Ovis aries: one gene and its partner. The protein of the gene in region 1 interacts with the protein of each later gene in a biochemical or structural test. Links are inferred from orthologs where the notes say so. Each region holds a gene or a part of one and is shown in the gene's direction. Other genes may lie near its edges.

Region 1 (7,560 bases):
GTTGTGCTTAATAAGTAGTGGTGGTATAATCACTACTCATATAGAATAACTTAAAAATTTTTTTCAGTTTTGGTTCTGAATGTAAAAGTTGAAATGTTAGTGCTCTCAGAATTGAAATAAATAAAGCTGCATAAAATTGAAGATCACTCTTCCAAATGCAATATAACCATAAACAGTTTGGTTGGCATAATATATATAACCATGAGTAAATATTTCTTTTCAAACAAAGGTCAACAATGAAGATATTTCTTTCCAAACAAAGGTCAACAATGAAGATCCTTTTAGTTCAGCCACATCAAGCTCCATCAGCAGTGTGGCCATTACAAAAAATATGCTTGAGGAAACATCCGTCAAAAATGAAGATGTACCCCCAGCACTGCCACCAAAGATAGGAACTCCAACAAGACCCTGCCCACCACCACCTGGTATGAGAGTTGGTACCTTTCCTAAATCAACTGCTTTCTTTTTCTTTCCAAGAAGTTTGTGTGAGCCTTACCTGTAGACGTTATATAAAGGGCCTTAGCAGAACAAGTCAGAAAGCATGGCAGAAGCCTGCTGTTATCATCTGTTCTGACCTCAATGCAGAATTACAGACTTGTGCCTAAGAAGCCAACCTGTGTAACTGTCAGGAATTACCTTTCTGGCAAGAGCTAATCTATTTTTAAATCATTTCAGAGAGGCAGTAAATGAAATCTCTTGCTTTTTGAAAGCTAATGAGCTTCCATTTAATCAGAGTTTCCTGCACTGTGATATTTTAATAAATTTCTATAAGGGAAGGTTAATAATCCAGAGTCCCTTTCTTTTTCCTGCTAAGTGTGAAGTCTTCCTTAAGTCCTTCAGTATGAGAATATATGGCCACTTTGGTATCAGAATGGCCAATTCAGCATTTTGGTGTCAGAATTTTGAAAGAAAGTATTGTTTTTCTTGAAGGAAAATATTATTTACCTCAATAAGAGATTCCTTTATTTTAAAAAGGTGGTGTTTTGGTCGAGAAACAGATTCTTACTTTTTTGCTTTTGTTTTGTTTAGTACTGTACCAAAGAAAGGGGTTTTGTTCAATTTTAATTAATGAAAACAATAAAGTTTATGAGAAGTGGTAAAGGGCAATCCCCTGGGTAGTTGTAGTGCCGCTAGATTGTTTTTGAGAAGACACATCTGGTACATCATTGTTTTTACCTTATATCCTTGATAAATTTTCAGCCACAGTAGTTCTAGATTTTTATTCTTGCCTTTTTATAATAGCCTGCCTGTGGTATTTCTCGGGCAGATTTCTTTTTTCTTCTTTGATTTAAAGAATTGTGAATAAAATTATTAATACCCAACTACCTATTGAAAAATCAAGTGAACAAGCGATTTCTATCTTTTAGGGAAGACTAGCCTATATCTTTTAATTGTTCTAGGGTAAATTTGTCAGAATATGTTAAAAAACAAGTGACAGTTAATTTGCTTATTTAAGTTTTATACCTTTAAGAGGTCAATAGTGAGGTGATTTTTAAAATCCTCAATAAACTAATATACTAGTGCTGTAACTAAATCTAAGACTTCAATAAACTGAGTATATATCACTGTAGAAAAATCAAAGAAAGAAGAATGAGGACTTCCTGGTGGTCCAGGGGTTAAGACTTTGCCTTCCAATGCAGAGGGTACGAGTTCAGTCCCTGGTCGGGAAGCTAAGATCCCACATGTCGAGCCCAAAAAAAACCATAAAATAGAGGCAATATTGTAACAAATTCAGTAAAGACTTTATAAAAATGGTCCACATTTAAAAAAAAAAGGGGGGGGATGGTTGTTGAACTGGGATATTAAAGATCTAAGTTCTCATTCTGAATATCCTCTGATATCCTCTGTGATCTTGAGTGTATAGAGCTTCCTATGTCTGAGCCCCAGATCTCTGAGCTGTTAGATGGTGGCATTAGTTCTCATGCTGCCCTCCAAGGGTTGTTGGAAGGATCCTTTGAGATATGAGATGTGAAAACCTTTTGTAAGCTGTGACAGAAAGACTCTGTTGTTATGGTTGCCGTTACCAGATTAACACATCTTCAGGAATATATATTTAGATTTGAAGATATTTTAACACTTATTCTTATCCTTTCTTCAGCAAGTACTAAGTTTAAGTCTTGAAAATTAGAAAACTTGTTTGAAAATGGTGATGAATAACAGTATGCTATTGTTTGGTCAAAGATTAGTTTATCAGTAACCACAGAATTTAGGCCCTGGGCTTCAAAACATTCTCTCTATCCTTCAGTTTGAAATACTGTAGATGACAAGAAGTAGCTGGGCTTTACCAAAGTAGTTTTTAATTTCATGCTCCCAGGTGTTACATATAGATCCAGAGAAAAATCAGAAGAATATTAGCATTTTTCAGAGATCATTTGCCCTTACTGCCACTTGTGGAGAATTATGTATTAGGCAGAGGTTATCACAGCAGAGGCCGTTTTTGTCATTATTTGTCATTTTCCCCCTGTTTTATCCATTCTTGTCTCTCTCCTTGGGAGCGTGCTACTTTGGAGAAGAAGTTAACTCTGAGCAGAAAAGATTCCAGGTCTGCTGCTTCACCCTTGGCTGTTTTCCCACTTACCCGCATAAAACTGGAGTGTACTTAAGAGGTTGTGTGTGAAATTTTTGACGACAGACTGTTGGTTGTGGTCATTTAAGACCATATTAAGAATGTGTTTTAGGTTCCCCATCCCCACTTCTCTAATGCTCCCTGTGTTCCTGTTGTTGTGTGTTTGTGTTTGCCATACTTGCTGGTTGAGTTAATTGTAATGATTTTGATCCAGGGAAAAGACCCATCAACAAAATGGATTCTTCTGATCCCTTTAAACTGAATGATCCATTTCAGCCTTTCCCAGGCAATGATAGCCCCAAAGAAAAAGATCCTGATATGTTTTGCGATCCATTCACTTCTACTACTACCACTACCAATAAAGAGGCTGACCCAAGCAATTTTGCTAACTTCAGTGCTGTAAGTACTGTGAATGGGCTGTTTGGGGGAAAATCTTTCCATTTATAGTTTAAAGAGCTTTCAAAGATTATTTTTGAGTCTGCCAAATTTGCATTATTTCAGCTAAATTTACCAACATGTTAAAAATGATCTTTATTCTTCCCCCAACCAAGAAAACCTCTGTTTGATTCTGTCTGCTAGTTCTGAAATTATTGCATTGTTAAGATGATTTTAGTAGTCTTAGTTCTTGGGATATATACCAGGTGCTTTGCAAAACCTTGACAGTTATTATTTTGCAAATTGTTACAGACAGTGGGCCACTAGAGAGTCATTTGCTGTCTGCCCTCTGGATAAATAATGCCAATAATGAGTTTGTGTTATTTGTAACTGTGTATGTGTGTTTGTGTATAAAACCTTGAAAATTTCTGGAGACCAGTCAGCAATTACTGTATTATATAAGAAGATAGGACCAGAAATTCTTTGAATAGAAAATAAAACTCTGGTTTCATACAGAAATGTTCTTAAAATATAAATCAGTTTTATTAAATAAATATTTTTAAGAGCTAAACAATCTTTAATTATTTGGAAGACTCTAATTCACTAGCTTCCCATATCTACTCCACATTCTCCCAAAGCTTCCCTGATGGCTCAGTCAGGAAAGAATCTGCCTGCAGTGCTTGAGACCTAGATTCTATCCCTGGGTTGGGAAGATCTTCTGGAGAAGGAAAAGGTTATCCACTCCAGTATTCTAGCCTAGAGAAGTCTATGGACTGTATAGTCCATGAGGTCGCAAAGAGTTGGATATGACTGAGCGACTTTGATTCACTCACTCAGTTCACTAGCATTCCATACCTACTCTGCATTCTCCCAGAGCTGACTAGAGTAGGCCAATAAAGACAATAGAAGGGTGTGGTGTTAAGAGTATAGGCGGGTCTTATAAGATCATAGAAATGGGGCAACCAACTGGAAATATCACCCTGGTGGGGCATTAAGCAATGACGTGTATATCATCATCATGTAGATAAACGTAAATTTTTGTTTTAATTCTTAGAGTAACTAACTGTTTCATTTCCCAGGTTGCTTTTTTTTCTAGATAAAAATGACCTTCATTATCACTGTCTATTTTATAATAAAGCAGTTTTCCTCTACTTAACAACCTCAAGCCTTTGAGATGATTCTATAAATAAGAGATCTAGTGGCCAGCTGACTGACCACAGTCTGCCTAATGTCTCCCTCAGTGTAGCTTAGGGTCACTCTTCCGATCACTTTATTCCTGCAGCCATTTCTAGTTAGTAAAGCAGGTAGGCAGAATTAGACTAGGCTATTTAGCTTTTGAATCTGTACTCTTAAGTTTCAATGGCTTCTTCCAAATGTGAAGAGGCAGAGCAGGAATCAATATTTTAAATATTGGAAAACAGAAGGTGTCAGAATTATACTGACTCTTGTTAGATGGAATTTGAGTTGTTTCAAGGAGAGAACCCAGAATTGCTCTTCTTACTATAATGCTCTTAGTACAAAATAACCTTCTGGCAGTTTGTGGCACTTAATATCTTAAATATGATTTCAATAAGTCAAAACCTGGTTGGAATGAGTCTTGAACAAAAGCAATTTGCTTTTTTCATTTTCCAGAATCTCAGTATAGTATAATATTAAGCATCTAATAATAAAAATGTCTTTTTAAATGAAAGATTTGTTAAACATTAAAAGTTTCAAAGATCTTATAATTCCCTAGAAAGAAAGCTACCATTTTCAAAAAAGCCTGACAGTTTCTTTCTTTTCATCCTGTTTGTTATGGTATTCATCCTATTATGGTGTTCTTCTATATGACAGGACTTGAAACCAAGTAGAATGTTTTTATTTAGTATCTGCCACGGTTGCTATTTGGGGTGGATACATATATTTCCTTGACTTATTAATTACCAGCATTAAGGTCTTATTTAGAATGGGTCAAAAAGTTCTCAATACCTTCTAAAATCATTATAATGCATTAAAAAAATTGATTAGGTCCACATCTTGCTTGGTATATACCCAGGACTCTTGTTTTATGTATAACAAAATTTATGTATAGTATATTCTTTGCTTTATAATTTTCCTGTACCTGAAGGGCTAGAATAAGATAGGAAATTGCCAGTGGGATTAAGTTAAAAATGATGTATCATGTGAGGATGCTCACTGAAGTTGAAGTAGTAAATGTTTTACATTAGATAAATATGCTAGTTCTCTCCTGTTTTTAAATCTGTTCCACCTTAAGAATAACCACTTTTTACAAATGATGTTTTAATGTTCAGTTTTATAGACTCTCTATCTGTAGACTGCATTGCTTTTAAGATTAAATCATATTTTGATTTAATTTTTAAGTTTAAATTTAAAGTTTTAAGTTTAAACTAATTAAACTTGTTTTTGGGGGGAAAAAAAAAATCAAGACTTTTTCCAGAGCCCTTCAGGTGAAACACATAGTTCAATTTCCTTTTGTGAAAGCTGTTTTTCCTTCTTTTCTTTGTACTTGTTTTACTCATGAATGTATTCATTTGTTTGTTCATTTATCTTTTAAATGGCAGTATCCCTCTGAGGAAGATATGATTGAGTGGGCCAAGAGAGAAAGTGAGAGAGAGGAAGAGCAGAGACTTGCCCGACTGAATCAGCAAGAGCAAGAAGACTTAGAACTGGCTATTGCACTCAGCAAATCTGAAATATCAGAAGCATGAAGAAATCTCCTGTTCTTCGTCAACCACACAACACTCTCCTTCTTGAATACTGAAGCTATTTACAATGTGTATCAAACCTACCTGTGAGCATGGGAATACAAAAGGTTTGAGATTCCTGTAAATGTGACAAAAGTTTTGGCTTTTTAAACTCCATTTCAGATTTGTCTTTTTTTTCCCCCTGTGCAAGTGGTAACCCAGATGACTTCACCTAGGCCCCTGCTCTGGTGTGCATTTAGTGTGAGCTGTTGCCTGCCTGTGCCTCTCTTACTTGTAAAGCTAGAGCACCCAAGTTTCTGCCTTCTGGAATATAGAGAAATAGTTTCACCCCTATGCTACCCTTATTCTGTAGTTACTCTAATGATAGCCAGTGGGGTTCTTAAAGTTGGCAGTATTCTCCCCTAATTTAAATGGTTGAAAGAGGGGAAGGGAAAGAACAGCCTATTTCTTTTATGATAGAGCAAATTGGCCAGTTTAAAGTACATGTTTGTATTTCCTTTTAATCAAAATACTGTTCAATTTGTTTTTTATAGACAAGAAAAAATATTTTGCATACATTGACTCCCACTGTTGAAAACAGGATGTTTTAGATGGAACCATTAGAGCTTCAGACTCAATCTTTTCCTAAATAAAAATATTAAAGCCTCATGTCTGAAATAAATTAAAAAAATTTTTTTCTGGATTTAAAGAATTTTAGATAAACAGATACCTCTCCATGATTTTAAGTACTTAGAGAATGAAGAAAAATTTTCACCTAAAATATACTCATCAATATAAGATAAGCAAAAATCTTAACCTGGCAGCCATTCTGCCATTGCCATGGCACTGTCCTCTTTAGTTCATGGTAGGTTTATTTTTTTACTTTTGTAGAAGAAACTTTAGTAAGCTAGAACTGGAAGGTACTTTAACTTTTTGTATATATATTTTTTTGTTTTCTTTAATGAAGGCTCAATTACTTGAAATGTAAAAACATTCTCTGAATACAGATGAAAAAAGTGACATGTATTAAATCATTATTGCTTTGTGTCCATCTTTGTGGATTAAAATAGTCTATTCTTTTTGTGTTTTTCACCTACAAAATTGGCAAGCTAGCAAAACTTTTTTTTTGTTTTTTTAAATTGGGAGAGAGGAGACCTGCCCAGTTATCAGATCTCTTTATGTGTTAAAAGCCTATCTTCTGCAAAACTGACTTAGCAGACAAGCTGAATTTAAAATGGACTGTGAAGTAGGCTGTAAATTGTAGAGTAATCTAAATTTTTTTAACATCAGTTACTGACTTAAATAATGTGTTGAAAACCAAGATAAAGGAAAATGCACCTAAAGAGTAATTAAATGTGTCTGTGGTCACCAAGTCAAGGTGGTATTGATCTGTGTTAATCAGAGTAACTTATTGCCTAGCTTATGAATAAATTCCAGAATATCCAATTATTTCATTTTGAAATGGTGCTTTTTTTCTCTCCACACACAATTGGATTACTGCAGTTCAAAATGAATTTAAACTACTTTCTTGCATTGCTTTTTTCTACTTTTATAAATTAAAGCATTTCAGCATGAAAGTCATACAGACAAAGCAAGGGCTGAATCATAATCACCGGGCTTTAATATTGATAAACTAATCCATTTATAAGGATATACTCCAAAAGTTGATTGAGAAGGTAGTGTTGGGAGTTGTAAATGGTAGTGGGTTTTGGGTTTTTTTTCTTCCCCTTCCACTTTAGGAAAAAGGTAAGTTGACTTGAACAACCTTCTTTTGCACTGGGAAAATGAGCAGATGTTTGAAATGGTTTTAAAATATTTTTTTTTAATTAAAAGAACACTCTGGAAAGTACTAAATATCTGTAACTTATAAACACCAACTTTCAGTGTACCTTAATCTTATGTGTGTTTAACTGGATTGCATAGATTCTTATCTTT
Region 2 (8,303 bases), on another chromosome or scaffold:
TGAGAGTGCAGTTGAAGAAGTTGCAAAGACATTTAAAAGCAAAATTGGGAAAACCTGTATCTTTTTTTTTTCAATTGTGATGCATCTGATCTCTATGAAAACCAAATGCTATCAAGGACCTACATCTTGAAGGAAGTGCAAGTCCCAGGTTTAAGCTGCAAAGGACCTGCAGATGGTGATGCCAGGTGGAAATGCAGGCAGAGACATCTCAGTGATGCTCTATTAGATTATGACTGTTTAGTGCTTTCATGAAAAAAGGCCACAGATTTTTGAGAAGCTGGCCCCTCACTATTTTTTCCATAGCCCCATTAATTTTAGTGTGTGGTTTTGCAGAATGTGAGTTTTTTTAAGGTACACTTGGCAGCATAGCAAAAATGCCTGTCCAGACATTCAAGTTACTCAGGAGGCTGTTGTCTGAAGTTGAGTCCAGTGTATTTTAGAACTGAGTGCTAGGGCTTAGGGAGAAAATGCTTTGCATTCTTGTGTATAACTTGGGCTGAAACCCAAAGCAAGGAGTATTTTTAAATTAAAAAGTTTGGTTTAAATATACATTAATATAATTTTGCCAATTTTTACTATATTCTTTTAATTCTAAACCTGCCATTTTAGGTAACATCAGCTTCCCAGGTAGCACTAGTGGTAAAGAACCCGCCTCCGAGTGCAGGAGCTTTAAGAGACATGGGTTCAATCCCTGGATCAGGAAGATCCCCTGGAGGAGGGCATGGCAACCCACTCCAGTATTCTTGCCTGGAGAATCCCATGGACAGAGAAGCTTGGCGGGCTACAGTCCATGGGGTCACAAAGAATTGGACACGACTGAAGCAACTTAGCATGCATTCATTAATCTAATACCCAAACAGCTTTTAATTTTTAAGCCAAAAAAGAATATATGTTTTCATTTGAAATTGAAGTAATGATTATGATTTTTTCATTTCTTATCGACATTTCTGCCAGGATACCAAAGAACAAAAAAAACACAGTGCTATTTTAACTAGACAAATGAATGTGTATAGGCTGTTATTTAATGTGCCTCAGTGATTTTCAGACCGGAAGCATATTCTTTGATACCACCAAATAATACTTTTTGCTACATATAGCAGCTGCCCAAATGCTTGAGTCCTAGCATCTACAGAGGATTATGGGGAGTTGGGGAAGTAGAGACTGACCACAATGAGAGTGTGATACAGCAGGTATTCACATGGAAACAGTCTTGTATTTGTTTACTCCAATTTAAAATTTGACTTCTGTATGCTTTTCTTCAAGAGAGCCTGTTGTCCAGGCCTGCTTTATGACTTAACATCTTGTCAAACTTAAGTTTGTTTAGACCCTTCTGACTCTGCCACTCCTGAAGTCCTCTGTCCCCGCCTCACTGGCCAGAAAGCAAACAAACATTGAAAACAGTGCACTATTATTCGTTAAAAGACCTCACATTAAGAGTTCATAGGTACTGGGGGGTTTTGTTTTGTTTAGTTTTGTTCAGTGTTTTAATTACTACATGAGAATAGTAGATATACCATGTGACATGTAGTAGATTATTAAACCCTTTATTTATCTGAAAAACAGGAGATCTGAGCCCTGCTTCTAACCTGTCTTTTGAGATACATAGGGAAGTAGATGGGTAAAATGACCCAGGAGGTTTTTGGGGTTCCTTAGTGATGTGAGCTCAAATTATTTGAAGACATTGCCCTAAGGTCCTCATTCTCCTGTTTTCTTGAGCTGATACAGATAAGACAGCTGATGGTTCGTCAGTGGCCCCTGGCAACATTGTCACCTCCCCATCCTCTCCCACCTCTCCCACTCTGGATGCCACTGCCTCTCTGGAGATGAACAATCCTCACGCCATCCCACGCCGGCATGCACCAATTGAACAACTTGCTCGCCAAGGCTCTTTCCGAGGATTTCCTGCTCTTAGCCAGAAGATGTCACCCTTTAAACGCCAACTGTCCCTGCGCATCAATGAGTTGCCTTCCACTATGCAGAGGAAGACTGATTTCCCCATAAAACACACAGGTAACATGGCATCCCCAACTCCCCGGGGCTCAGGCACTGAAGCGTTACATCACCTCCAGTGGAGTCCCTGATCCCATCAAACTATCCACCCCTCTTCTGAGGCTGTTTGGTGGCTGTGCATAGCTTGTATCATTTCCCATTGGCAGAAAATGGAGGTTCACAGAGAGAGATGGGAGTTGTTCATTTATTTTCAGCAATAGGTTAACAGAGCCATGATGGAAATTCCTAGTCCAAGTTACATGGTTTGTGATTTGTCCTGATGAAAGTGTACCTGCTTTCAGACATCAAGGGTCTCAAGTTTCCCTTCTTCTTCTGCCATTTGGGACCCAGCAGGGAGTTAATTTAAAAGGCTTTGGAAACACATCCAGTTAAATAGCACCACTGTCAGATGTACCAGAAGAAATGGATAAGTTCTCTTTGTCCTTGTGGCTGGTTGGCTCCATAGGGAGGAAACTCTAAACAGGTCTCCTGTATAAATCTAAGATCTGTTGTTCATCAGAGACAGTGGGATTGCTCACACATATTCATTACCTTTCAGAGCTGTCACACAGGCCTTTGTGTGGCCTTTGTACAGCTGAGCCAACCCCAGTAGCTCTATCCTCATCATAAGATCCGAAGCTTAAGTGTCAGATCCGGTCAGTGCTTTTATTGGGCCCTATTTTACTTTGCTCTCAGACATGTTGAGCCAGTGCTATAACAGAATCTGAGGAAGCCGTGTCTCAATAGGGCACTCTTACTGCTGGTGGCACAAAAGCACAGAGATTTAGGTTCTTTGATGGATAAAACTCGGCCTAAAGAACAGTTAAACTAGATCATTACTGAGGGTCTTGCCCCCTCTCAACTCCTATGAAAACCAAAACTCCAGATGCTTCAAGTACCTCATTTTCAATCTCCCTCTGGAGCAGGCGGGTAACAAAACCATTATTCTCTTTTCACAGTTGAGCAGACAGAGCTTCAACACATATAATTAGCTTCCTCCGTGACATAGAAGTATTCCAGAGTCAATATTAAGAACAAAGCCGCTAGAGTCCTGGACCTCAGTTCACTTTTTCATGTTAACACTTTGGAGAAAGATGACAGTGATGACACTGTCATAGTTTATGACAGAGAAAAGGACTGAGTGCCCACTGGTGCCCCTGACTTTAACCCATTTATCTCAAAAGAGTCACTGGGGGCCTCTCAAACTTAACTCACATCACCGGCTTGGGACCTGGTTGGAAGACAAACAGGTTGCATGTGTCTTCTAGAAAAATCTCACTGGCACAAAAAGAGAACAGCATGTTTTCAACAGTGTCACACAGGAGAGGAAATACAGAAATCTGGGGATTTGCAAGGGAGGAAGGTAGGCCTTAGTACAGGAATTGTTAGCATTCTGTACCTTCTCATGTAAAAAGCTAGTGAATAGTGGTAAGTTTTTTGAAGTTGCTTTTATAGCCCCACCTGAGTCTTTTTCTTCCACAAATAACAGAGGCAGAGTAAAATGCCACCTCACGTGACACTGTTCTGTTCCAGACTTGTTCCGTTTTTCTGTCTGGAGCCATCTTCTGTCTGTCTTGCAGTGCCAGAGGTAGATGGCGAAGCAGAGAGCATCAGCTCGCTGTGCTCACAGATCACCAATGCCTTCAGCACACCCTCTGAGGATCCCTTCTCATCCGCCCCAATGACCAAACCAGTGACAGTGGTGGCACCACAGTCTCCTGCCTTTCAAGGTTGGTGCTCACTTAGCCTGCGATTCTCTTTGAAACTAATACTTTTATGACACTGATCACTAGTGTAAGTTGGCATCCTGAGCTTCCCACGATCTGGTCAGACCCCCTGCATTTCCCTGTTTGATACTGTCTCAGGCTCATTACATTTCCCTGTGTGACAGTGTCTTTGTTCCCTTCCTGTTGCCTGAGATTGTCTGCATTTTGCATGTGCCTGCCCTCCTTTCACTCCATCCTGTCAGGAGCATCAGTAGTCCCAACCCACTGCTTTGCTACTTAACTGTTAAGAGACAAAGCACCCAACCAGTTCTCCAGAAACAGCAGTCATCAGAGTTGGTTCTAGCTTCATGCTTTCTTTACCACAGTAAAGAAAGCTGGGGTGATTTTGCCCCCTTGGGGAAAAATTTAGCATCCATTGTCTGGATATGTTTTGGGTTTTGTGGTGTGGCAGAGGGTGGTTATTACTGACATCCCAGTGGAGGCCAGGGAGGCCCATAAACATCCTTCCATGTACACAGTAGCCACCTCACAACAGAGAACAATCAGGCCCAAAATATCTATGGTGCCAAGACTGGACTCACCTAGTCTTTGCCCTTTCATAAGAGTCCCGTAAAGAAAAAGGCACTTCTCTTGGCTCTTCACTTCATTTCATCTTCTATAGCAAGGATCCTAAAACTAGTCTTTGTGGCATTGAAGAATTAGTAAAAGTTGTTTTCAGAGATACTGAATTAACTCAGTTGACTCAAATTAACTGAATTGACTCAAAAATCACTGCAGATGGTGATTGCAGCCATGAAATTAAAAGACCCTTACTCCTTGGAAGGAAAGTTATAACCAACCTAGACAGCATATTGAAAAGCTGAGATATTACTTTGCCAACAAAGGTCCGTCTAGTCAAGGCTATGGTTTTTCCAGCGGTCATTTATGGATGTGAGAGTTGGACTGTGAAGAAAGCTGAGCGTCGAAGAATTGATGCTTTGGAACTATGGTGTTGGAGAAGACTCTTGAGAGTCCCTTGGACTGCACGGAGATCCAACCAGTCCATCCTGAAGGAGATCAGTCCTGGGTGTTCATTGGAGGGACTGATGTTGAAGCTGAAACTCCAATACTTTGGCCACCTCATGCGTAGAGTTGACTCATTGGAAAAGATTCTGATGCTGGGAGGGACTGATGGCAGGAGGAGAAGGGGATGACAGAGGATGAGATGGCTGGATGGTATCACTGACTCAATGGACATGAGTCTGAGTGAACTCCGGGAGTTGGTGAACTCAGGGAGGCCTGGCGCGCTGCGATTCATGGGGTCGCAGAGAGTCAGACACGACTGAGCGACTGAACTGAACTGATTGACTCAAAGGTCAACAAAGAGCCTGTATAACTTAAATTACAGATGTTAGAATTTGAGCTCATATAATTGATCTTTCTTCATTTCTTTTGGGAGAGAGCTCAGAAGAAGTTTTGCTGTGCAGGCGTTTTTTTGCCTGCACCTGTTGAAAGCTGCAACATGCTTTTCCTCCAGGAGGGAGTCTCTTTAAAAACAAAACAAAACCTTAATATTCATATGCATCAGGTGGCATTTCATCTAACAGATACTTATACTGCCAACAATAACAGGTACTATTTATTGGGCACTTAGCATCATGTCTGCCACGTACATCATGGTAAGGACTCTTGCATTTTCCTCATCTCATTTAATCCTCACAATAGTCCTTTGAGATAGGCATCACAGATAAGGGAAATTAGGCTCAGAAAGGTTAAGTGAACTGCCCAAATCACACAGCCAGGATGTAAACCCAAGTCTTTCTGAATATAGTTCCTATTATATTCAGCTGACTTTGTGCCTATTTACAGGGTAGTGGGTATACAAAACTATAAATAGAATATAGTCCTTTTCCTGCCTTTAGAGGACTTGCAGTTTTTGGATAAGCTAGTCTTTTAGGCAAGCCCTGGGTCAATAGCACCAATGCCATAAGCATAGTTGCCAAGTCCTAAAGAGAGAGTGATTATGGTGTAAGGCAGGAGAAGGTGCCTGCTTGTCTGCTCTATACCAAGTATAGAGAGCTAGGCAAAGGAGTAGAAACTGATGGGATAGCCATCTGGAGTAAAGGAGCAAGGACTGGATTTTATTAAAGGGAGACAGGAAACAAGAGTGAGTGCCTTAAGACATTACAAACATTACTGAAGGGGAAAAAGTCTTAAAAAGATGAAATTAATTCTGTAGCAAATTATAAATTAAGCAAATGAAAACACGTTTGATTTCTCAACTGTAATATGGGGTTTTTGAGAGAATTTATTGAGATGATCGGAGAAGGCAATGGCAACCCACTCCAGTACTCTTGCCTGGAAAATCCCGTGGATGGAGGAGCTTGAGATGATGCATGCTAAAACACTATTAGAGCCTAGCACAGAGTAAAGAGGACTGTGTCAACCACTACTGGCATAATCTGATCTTTTGAAATAGTGATAGATGACACTTTATCATTATGCCAAAGGCTAAGCTGGCTAGAATAGATTTTTGCTGCTTGTAATACAAAGCAGTTCTTTTTAACTTAATTTGAAATTGTTTTTCGAGTCTTCATTACCTCTTACCCCATAAACATGTTTTTCTAAAAGAGTCATTTAATTTTATCAGTACACCCATTTTAATTACAGCCTCTGATTCTCTTTGCCAAAAGGTTTGTGTATTCATTGCAGATGGCATGGTTATCCCACACCAACTTTTCTGTCTTATCTTTTCACCAGTATTGCATATTGGCCTGACTGACCCGGCTCCAAGGGGTCACCTGTACACCCTGCATGAATTAACTCCATCAATGTTGTCTGCTCCCATTGTAGCTAATGGCACTGACTCAGCCTTCCATGTGCTTGCTGCTAAGCCAGCCCCTACTGCTCTAGCACCCGTAGCAATGCCTGTGCGCGAAACCAACCCTTGGGCCTATGCCCCTGATGCTGCTAACAAGGGAATTGCAGCCACACATTCGGGTAAGGTGACCACAGATGCTGGTGAGGATTCTGGGATCAGATAAGTGACCTTGGTTTGAAAATCAGCCATTTACCTTAGTGGGAACCAGGAAGGAGTCCTTTTAGGAAAAGTGGGATCCCTTTTGGAAATAAACTACTAATAAGGAAGGATGGTGTCAGAGAGGAGCTCTTAGAGGTGAGATTGATAATTCTTAGGACCCTAGAGCCACCCACAGAGCTTTCATAAGACACAGAGTCCTGGGCCCTCCCTTGCAGGAGCCTGTGTCTGGGTCTAGATCAGTGGACATGCCTGTAGGAAGAGACAACTCTGCCTCCTACAATAGCAGGCCTACAAAAAAAGGCTACAGAAAGGCAGTTCACCAGGAAGACATGTGTCTGGAAGGCGGGCAGCAAGTCCCTGGTTATTCTCATTCTGTTAGAGCAGAAAGTGAATCACCTCAGCTCTTTAGAGTATGTGCAAGCTGGTTTCTGGACCATAGATGAGCCACACCAGTGGGGGCAGGGTTCTGATGCCAGCCAGCAGCTTCAGTTTTGTGCAGTTGAGCCATCTCTGGCACCTTCCAGACACGGCTGAGGTAAACGACAGACGCACAGCTGAGGTCTCCTGGGTTCTCCCTGTCCTCCCACGAAACCTCTTCAGCTGGTAATAGAGACTTTGCTCCCACCTACCAAAACCACAGACCATCCCCCTGGGGGGGCTTGTTCCACGTTAGGATTATTCAAATAATGGAGATTATCAGGTGAAGAAAAAAGCCCCTGAAGATCCTGATTCTTCCCTGTCTTCCTCTTGTTGCTTCCAGGGACCGAGTGGGGCCAGTCTTCCGGTGCTGTCTCTCCAGGTCTCTTCCAGGCTGGTCACAGACGCACTCCCTCCGAGGCCGACCGCTGGTTGGAGGAGGTGTCCAAGAGCGTCCGGGCTCAGCAGCCCCAGGCCTCAGCTGCCCCTCTGCAGCCGGTCCTCCAGCCGCCCCCACCCACTGCCATCGCCCAGCCAGTGCCACCTTTCCAAGGAAATACATTCCTCACCTCTCAGCCCGTGCCAGTGGGCGTGGTCCCACCCCTGCAGCCAGCCTTTGTCGCTGCCCAGTCCTATCCTGTGGCTAACGGGATGACCTATCCAGCCCCTAACGTGCCTGTGGTGGGCATCACTCCCTCCCAGATGGTTGCCAACGTGTTTGGCACTGCAGGCCACCCACAGGCTGCCCAGCCCCATCAGTCTCCCAGCCTGGTCAAGCAGCAGACATTCCCACAGTATGAGACAAGCAGTGCTGCTGCCAGTCCCTTCTTTAAGCCTCCTGCTCAGCACCTCAACGGTTCTGCAGCTCTCAATGGTGTAGACGACAGCAGGTTGGCCTCGGGAGACAAGCAGACTGAGGCTCCTGCAGGCACCTGCACGGTGGATCCCTTTGAGGCCCAGTGGGCGGCCTTGGAAAGCAAGTCCAAGCAGCGTACTAACCCCTCCCCCACCAACCCCTTCTCCAGTGATTTACAGAAGACTTTTGAAATTGAACTTTAAGCAGTCCTTATGGCTTATGTATTTTGTCTGTACTTAGGCCCGGGTAGGGGGGTGGAGGTCAGAGGAGCAAAGGGGACTTTGCATTCCCAACC

What was found.
Region 2: the proteins of EPS15 (region 1) and NUMB form a complex in vitro, tested with the Homo sapiens proteins (2 studies listed by BioGRID and IntAct, with this or other methods). The link is inferred for Ovis aries from reciprocal best matches to the Homo sapiens genes EPS15 and NUMB.

Annotation. Positions count from the first base shown.
Region 1 is NC_056054.1:25,791,574-25,799,133, reverse strand, and holds part of EPS15 (epidermal growth factor receptor substrate 15), read left to right. Parts: intron 1-229; coding exon 230-425; intron 426-2,780; coding exon 2,781-2,965; intron 2,966-5,502; coding exon 5,503-5,649; 3' UTR 5,650-7,560. UniProt on the Homo sapiens protein: Involved in cell growth regulation. May be involved in the regulation of mitogenic signals and control of cell proliferation. Involved in the internalization of ligand-inducible receptors of the receptor tyrosine kinase (RTK) type, in particular EGFR.
Region 2 is NC_056060.1:82,821,358-82,829,660, reverse strand, and holds part of NUMB (protein numb homolog), read left to right. Parts: intron 1-1,716; coding exon 1,717-2,010; intron 2,011-3,569; coding exon 3,570-3,719; intron 3,720-6,548; coding exon 6,549-6,695; intron 6,696-7,495; coding exon 7,496-8,211; 3' UTR 8,212-8,303. UniProt on the Homo sapiens protein: Regulates clathrin-mediated receptor endocytosis. Plays a role in the process of neurogenesis.